Mytilus edulis: one gene and its partner. The main gene of each other region encodes a partner of the protein of the gene in region 2 in a complex. Links are inferred from orthologs where the notes say so. Each region holds a gene or a part of one and is shown on either strand. Other genes may lie near its edges. The genes, in order: lysosomal protective protein-like and beta-galactosidase-like.

What was found.
Region 1: the proteins of beta-galactosidase-like (region 2) and lysosomal protective protein-like are in contact, whole or in part, in a cryo-EM structure (PDB 7KDV), measured with the Mus musculus proteins. The link is inferred for Mytilus edulis from reciprocal best matches to the Homo sapiens genes GLB1 and CTSA. Residues at the interface, in NP_033882.1 of Mus musculus: Tyr198, Asp199, Arg202, His206, Leu229, Thr233, Leu234, Gln235, Asp236, Leu237, Lys258, Phe259, Glu260; in NP_001033581.1 of Mus musculus: Glu29, Asp31, Ala37, Lys38, Gln39, Pro40, Ser41, Phe42, Arg43, Tyr107.

The regions. Positions count from the first base shown.
Region 1 is NC_092348.1:35,176,732-35,180,667, forward strand, and holds the start of lysosomal protective protein-like, read right to left. Parts: upstream 2,878-3,936; 5' UTR 2,863-2,877; coding exon 2,812-2,862; intron 2,677-2,811; coding exon 2,501-2,676; intron 2,083-2,500; coding exon 1,971-2,082; intron 1-1,970. UniProt on the Homo sapiens protein: Protective protein appears to be essential for both the activity of beta-galactosidase and neuraminidase, it associates with these enzymes and exerts a protective function necessary for their stability and activity.
Region 2 is NC_092345.1:94,141,044-94,144,979, reverse strand, and holds the start of beta-galactosidase-like, read right to left. Parts: upstream 2,891-3,936; 5' UTR 2,864-2,890; coding exon 2,795-2,863; intron 871-2,794; coding exon 707-870; intron 295-706; coding exon 144-294; intron 1-143.

The DNA of each region.
Region 1 (3,936 bases), on a different chromosome or scaffold from region 2:
TATAATAATATTCAAGATAATAACCAAAAACAGCAAAATTTCCTCAAAATTACCAATTCAGGGGCAGCAACCCAACAACCGATTGACCGATTCATCTGAAAATTTCAGGGCAGATAGATCTTGACCTAATAAACATTTTTACCCCATGTCAGATTTGCTCTAAATGCTTTGGTTTTTGAGTTATAAGCCAAAAACTGCATTTTACCCCTATGTTCTATTTTTAGCCGTGGCGGCCATCTTGGTTGGTTGACCGGGTCACGCCACACATTTTTTAAACTAGATACCCCAATAATGATTGTGGCCAAGTTTGGTTTGATTTGGCCCAGTAGTTTCAGAGGAGAAGATTTTTGTAAAAGCTAACGCCGGACGACGACGGACGACGGACGCCGGACGCCGGACGACGGACGCCGGACGCAAAGTGATGAGAAAAGCTCACTTGGCCCTTTGGGCCAGGTGAGCTAAAAATGAACTTTTCATAAAATGTTCACTTTGCATGAGTCTATACTTCTTTTCCTGTCTGAGGCACTGCATGGTTAATTGAAAATTCCATATTTGGGTTAAAAATTCGTTTAAAAAGTAGAATTTTTCTAAAACTATCCATCATGACAAGGATTTTTGTGATTAGGTGTGACAAGTAATCAATATTCTTACCAAAAACACCAACTTATGTATTCATTTTGTGTTTTTTTTATTTTTATTGCAAATTGTATATTCATTGGGGTGTCAAGTACAGTCTAAAAATCATGATATAGTAGGCATGTATAAAGACCTGTATAGTCAATAAAGAGAAAGGTGTGGTCTTTCTTGTCTTTAGATTGTTGTATTGTAGCAAATTCTTCAATATGAAAAAGTTTTGGGTAGTTTTTCAATTTGACTTAAACAAGAGGCCCACTTGGGTAGATTCAATGGTAAACTAGAGGCTCTAAAGAGCCTGTGTCGCTCACCTTGGTCTATGTGAATATCAAACAAAGGACGCAGATGGATTCATGACAATTTTTGGTGATGGTGATGTGTTTCTACATCTTACTTTACTGAACATTCTAGCTGCTTACAATTATTTCTATCGATAATGACCTTGGCCCAGTAGTTTCAGTGGAAAATGTTAGTAAAAATTTACAAGTTTTATGAAAATTGTTAAAATTTGACTATAAAGGACAATAACTCCTTAGGGGGTCAATTGACCATTTTGGTCATGTTGACTTATTTTTAGGTCTTACTTTGCTGTACATTATTGCTGTTTACAGTTTATTTTTATCTATAATAATATTCAAGATAATAACAAAAAACAGCAAAATTTCCTTAAAATTACCAATTCAGGGGCAGCAACCTAACAACAGATTGTCTGATCCATCTGAAAATTTCAGGGCAGATAGATCTTGACCTGATAAACAATTTAACCCCAGTCAGATTTGCCCTTCGGGCCAGGTGAGCTAAAAAGGGGGAGGGGTAAACTATTGAATGTGGTCCAATCAAACAGAAGGAAAAAATAAAAATAATAGATAAGAATACTCTTCTCGCTTCACAGTATCCAAATAATAAGAAAACATTCATATAGATAGACTAGAATGAGATTTACAGATCATTTGATAGACATGACTGATTTCCAAATTTTGCCTGTTTTCAGGAAACGGTACTGCTTTAATAGTGGGATTATTTTTATTAATACAACTAAACATTTTTTTTAATGGCATTTTTTATGTTCAAATATGGCTACTTAAAGAAACTAAGTTAATGATTTTTTTTTTTAAGACATGTCATTATTGTTAACACAAAAAATATGTGATTTTGTACTGAATTTTAAAATCATACTAACAATTTATATGGATAAAAAACATCCTTTTTCGTCATTCAAAGGTAATGGTAAACTGGAATTACTTTTCAAATTAGAACTTAGAACGCAAATGAATTATCACTTATGCAACTGCCTACAATGCATATCAATTTTAAACATGCAGTATAAGTTAATTTACCCTAAAAGGTCCATGTTCTGAGAGTAAACCTAAATCAGAACTACATCCTGGTCCCCCATTCATCCACAGAACCAGAGGATCTTCTGATGGTTTATTGGCTGACTGTACAAACCTAGAAAAGATAAAGACGATATCTTATTCACTATATATGCTATATATATATACTCTTTTTGTTGCATTTAAATTGTATCGTATCATCCGTATTCATTCAAATAGTGTCAAGTTGTGAAAAACAAAATTGATCAGGTGAAAAAATTAAAGTAAACTACATTCAGATGACACTGAGCATGCTGAAATGTAACTAGTTTACCAATATAAACCATATCCTCTGATGTAAAACAATTTGAGTATAAAGTTAAATTTAACAGACAATATACTTTTTTGGCATGCTAGCTCTTATTTTCATCTCAGATACAGGGAACTTAGAAATAATTGAGAAACTGATCATGCTGATGCTACAAATAGTAAGAATCATTATATTCAATTTTCTATAAAACTATGATTATTTTGTTTTTATACAATGTACTTACCAGTAATGTAACTGTTTTGTTCCAGTAGCATTCAAATACCCAGAATACTGTTTCCAATATGGCTGCTTGTGTAGTCCTGGCATATATTTAATTTCCTCTGCAGGTGGTGCTCCATAACTCATATGAAGTATCAAACAAATTGTCAACACTAGTACTGTAGTCCACATGTTTGTGATCTGAAAAAAAATTGTTTTCTTTTACATGTGCTGAATAATAACTATCACAGTAGCAGGAAAGATGTGTCTATGGGGATAGATCTAGCTGATATGAGTGAACAAGTATATATATATACAGTACTTTTAAGGACATACTGAGATGAAAGACAAACATGGTCTGATGTCTGTCCTCCCATGACAGACCATGTGTCTGTCTTGCCCTTTAGATAAATTAGGTCAAATAAATAAATATTAACACCTTGGTCATGTGGAATCATAAGTTTATATCTTACACAATCTTACCAGGTGACTGATAAACATGTTACATTTTCAACTTACAATGACTTACTAATAATGCAAATGATAAAAATTGACCTCTTTTTCAAAGATAAATTTGATATACAAGTATATTTTTTGTGTTCTTCTTCTTATTACAAAATAAGAACAATAGTTGTCATTTTAGCTAAAAATCATATAAACTTTAATCTGTATATCTGTATCTGACATATGGAGCTACATGTAGTTCAAAGCAAATCTTACAATAACTCCAAATGAGAAAAGTACATATACATATTGTACTCAAAAGATAGGAATTTAACACTTTCGAATAGTAAAATATAAATCCTTCAATACAGTCACAGCACTGTAGGACTCTTATTAAAGAGGGACGAAAGAGACCAAAGGGACAGTCAAACTCATAAATCTAAAACAAACTGACACCATGGCTAAAAATGAAAAAGACAAACAAACAACAGCACACATGACACAACATAGAAAACTAAAGAATAAACAACACGAACTCCACCAAAAAACTAGGAGTGATCTCAGGTGCTCCGGAAGGGTAAGCAGATCCTGCTCCACATGTGGCACCTGTCGTGTTGCTTATGTGATTCATAGTCTGAATTGAGCAGCCATTAGCTACATGTATATAGTTCTATTAAGAGATATAAAAGAAACCTTAAGCAAAAGATTCATATCTACAAGGTTATGGACACCAGAACATACTTTCATACCAGTACATATATGAGCTGTGTGGAATAGAAATTGAATATTTATACATCTGTTAACTTATTTCTGGTTGAAAAATTTCTATGCAAAGTCTGGAACTGTTTTAAAATAGGGTTGATATAAAATATAAGAACCCTGCAAAAGAGATCAAAATTCATCTCTTACTTCGTATTTAAATGTTCCACTGTGGATTCATTTATTTTCGTGGGTACCAATTTTCGTGGATTGAGGAAAAAACTTACATGTTTGTGGATATTTGATTTTGTGGTTTTT
Region 2 (3,936 bases):
TCCTTCCCAACAAAGGTCTCTCTGTACCTCAATCAAGGAAACCAAACCCATGTGACCTCTTTAAAATATATTGATTGATATCTTTATCTTAAAATGATTTTCTGATCAGAAAAAAAGATCCAGCTCAAAGTACAATAACTTACAAAGTCCCATTCTCCACAGATATATGGCCCTGCTCTAAGTACAACAAACAAGTCAACTTCCTGTGCCTGCTTAATGAATCCAACTAAATCTTTGTCACCTTCAAAATTCAATTCATTCTCCTCCATCTCATGGAAATTCCAAGGTACATATCTAGAAATTAAAAAAACCCATTTAAATTTCTTTTCTAGAAATGTGTATCATTTAATTTGCTTAAATTCTATTATCATCTACAGAAAACCAACTCATTCTTTAGGAGGGGGGATTTGTACATTTTTTTGGTTTATAATATAGATACTGCTTAAATTAATTGTACCAAGATGTTTGCAAGATAGTTTGAATATGAAAAGGAATCATTAATTCTGACATCCTGTCCTAATCTTCAATGTAAAGCAGAGCTGAACTGATGATTCAATTTGTAATACAGTAAGTACAAAATGTAATAATAGATGATGACTGTCAGCATAGTTTATACTTGTGTATAGATTAAATAGATCATTTTGGTATTAATATTTATTTTAGAAAAATTCATCCTGAAGTCATGTAAGTCTAATGGACTACCTACACTTGAACAGCATTTAAGCCAGCAGCTTTCATTTTCTGTAATCTGTCTTTCCAGTAATATGAAGGTATCCTGCTATAATGTATACTGCCAGATATATAACGGAAAGGTTTGCCATCCATACGGAACATGTCATTATCATAATCAATTGTAAACGTTCTGTTTGCCTGAATATAATGGAAAATTAATTAGAATCTAATTCATAACAGTGTGGATGTTATTTCATTCTATTCATTACAGTTAATAAATTGCTTTGCCGAGTGCAGCTGGATACGACTGCAGGGGTCCAACCCTGAACAGTTGGGGCAAAAATGGACACAATATTTAACGCTTGATACAGGTCTGAATTTGGATTGTAATTAAAAATTTGACACATAATAGGTTTCTGACACAGAATAAAGTCGAAGAACTTGAATTGATTTAATGAATATGATTTGAATTTATACTCAATTTTTTGCTTTTGTGCAATACACTATGCTGTTGTGAATTTTCCTCCCCTCTCAAATAAAAATTAAAAAAAACTTTTTTTTTTAATTTTATGCAATACACTATGATGTTGCATATTTGCACAAAAAAAAATATGAAGAAATTTTCATTTAAATTTCTGAAATCTGAATTGAAAAAAATTGCCCCTACAACTTCTCTCCCCCCCCCCCCCCCCCCCCCCAATTTTTTTCACCTCCCCCACCCTTTTCCTTTCCCTCGAGTAATGTTATAATCTCAATTCAAATTTCCATTTGAGTTTGCAACCATAATTACCCATTAAATACATCATAAAAGTATTAACATTGATATTAATATTCCTTAATCAGCATAATTCTTAAAGTAAATTGACAGCTAATCACCTCAAAACAATACATTTCTTTGTACATAATTTAAATGCAGTGTTAGGGAGGTAATCCAAAAATTGTCTTAATTCTCAATTAACCAGGAAACCCTTGTTTTCCCCCTTTTTTGCCCCTAATTCATATACAGTTTGAACCATAACCCCCCAAACCCAATCTTAACCATCCGTTTGTAGTCTGGAAACTTGAGGTATTATTTCAGAGAGATCCATACACTTCAACACAATTTATTGTCTGGAACTAGAAAAAAGCATATTTGGGCCTCTTAATTCCTAAATTGTTGGGACAATAAGGCATAACCCCAAAAATCAATCCAAACTTTCTTTTTGTGGATATAATTAACCTTGTGTTTAAATTTCAGAGATTTCTATTTACTTATACTAAAGTTATTGTCCGGAAACCAAATGTCTTCAGACGACGAGGACGAGGACGACTACGTCATGTACGTGATACCAATATATGATCACAAAAAAATTTGCAGTTGTATAAAAACTATCAATTATTTGCAAGATATTTGTAATTGTTGTCAGACAAGGACAATGACAATTGATGACAATTATTGAATTAATATGGGGACGGAGTCCCCAATAACAGTAGAAAATTCAATAAAAAAAAAATACGGGAAAATTTCCCGAATTTTTCATTGTACTAATGAACTCAAAATCGTTCAAATTTTTTTTGTCGTGTTTTGAAATCCTGGACCTGCGCAGAAATGTACAATGTACTTCCTTTTTCCGGTCTCGTTTGTATGAAACTTTGAGTAAAATATATATTTATCAGTCTAGTATAAAATAGGAAGGAACGTGCAATACCAATTTCATTTTTAATAATTCCTTGATATGAAAAAACGTTACCTGATGATAGCGTTTCTTTGTTTACATTGCATATGACGTCATAATTTAAATGACGTCACAACTAAATCCCTTACAACAGAACCAAAATCGGAAACATTACGGTATTTCCGTTTCTTTTTTTTTAAACAAAATATTTAAGTTACAAAAAAATAATTCATACAGACTTCGTCCCCATTTACAGGTAGTGCCTGCCTCATATTAGCTCACACTGGCTCTTTGGTCCAAAAATTTGATTTGATTTGATATATGAATGATCATGAATTTTGTTAGATTGAGTATTGATTTGATTTGATTAAAATTTGTTTTCACTCCTCTGAAAGATGTTTGAGAACACTAATCTAAAATTTTAAATGTTTTGAACCAAAATATAAGTTAACTTGTGTAACAAATACCTTTAGTGCATGTATGATCATAAATAAAAAGACGAAAGTGAAAGTTGGACGAAACATGTAAGTCGCCATTTTCAATGTTTTGTTGAAGTCATGTGATTAGATCATATGACTTGGTTACACGTTAACTCGTACCTTTACCAATTCGTACCCAATATTTAATATAAGTGTACCGATATCCTATTACTGCATTGACAATTCTACCCTATTGACAATTCGTCCCTGTATTTGATATAGATATATAAATATATAAAGTAAAACAGCTTTTTATATTCCCTAATTTTCATATAAATATATATGAATCAGTGGTGATCTGGAACTGTGATATTAACCTGTTGCAATGCGAAGTCCTCCGCAAGGCTAGTGTATATGCACAAATATTGTAGTTGCTTAAAGGACACTCAAGCAACTAAACCGAAGCCGGATATTGTTTAAAGCACTTTACAATACATCTTTAAACTTATGTTCAAAAACTTATGATCTAGTCCTGATAAGCAGCTGTTGCCTAAATACAGGCTCTCAAAAAACATTGTTGAAATAAAAAAATAAGCGCAAACATTACTTGGATTTATATGCAGCCTCTAGTACAACTTGTCCCAATGCTCTGAGGGAGAAAAAAATCAACAACAAAAATCATAGATCCTTAATAGTTAAAATGTCAAAGTTGGATATCATTTCCTGGGACAAATTTGTAATTGTTTGCTTCTCTAATTATTTATTGAGGTAAAAAAAGAAGAAGTAAAACCATCTCAACCTCAGACCTAAGCATCTATGACAAGCTATTTCGTGTCGAGGATTGCCCTGATATCTTCCCTTTTCAATCTTTAAAGTGTGTTCTGACACATGCAACCTTGTCGGATTTTGTCTACAATGTCAACACTTTGGATTACAGATGCATATTTTTTTACAACAAAGTTATGTGTCCAAGTGTACAAGAGAATAGTTTACTTCAAGTAGGCCTATATGTATGTAAATCAGATCCTATAGGTTTGTACAAAAAAAAACAACAGAATATTATATGTCTTATATCCCAGATGCACAATATGACCAAAATTAAAAGACTGAAAATACGACGAAAAGACAAATAACAGAAAACGAAACACAATACAAAAGACCGTAATATTGAACAACACAAATCTCAGCCA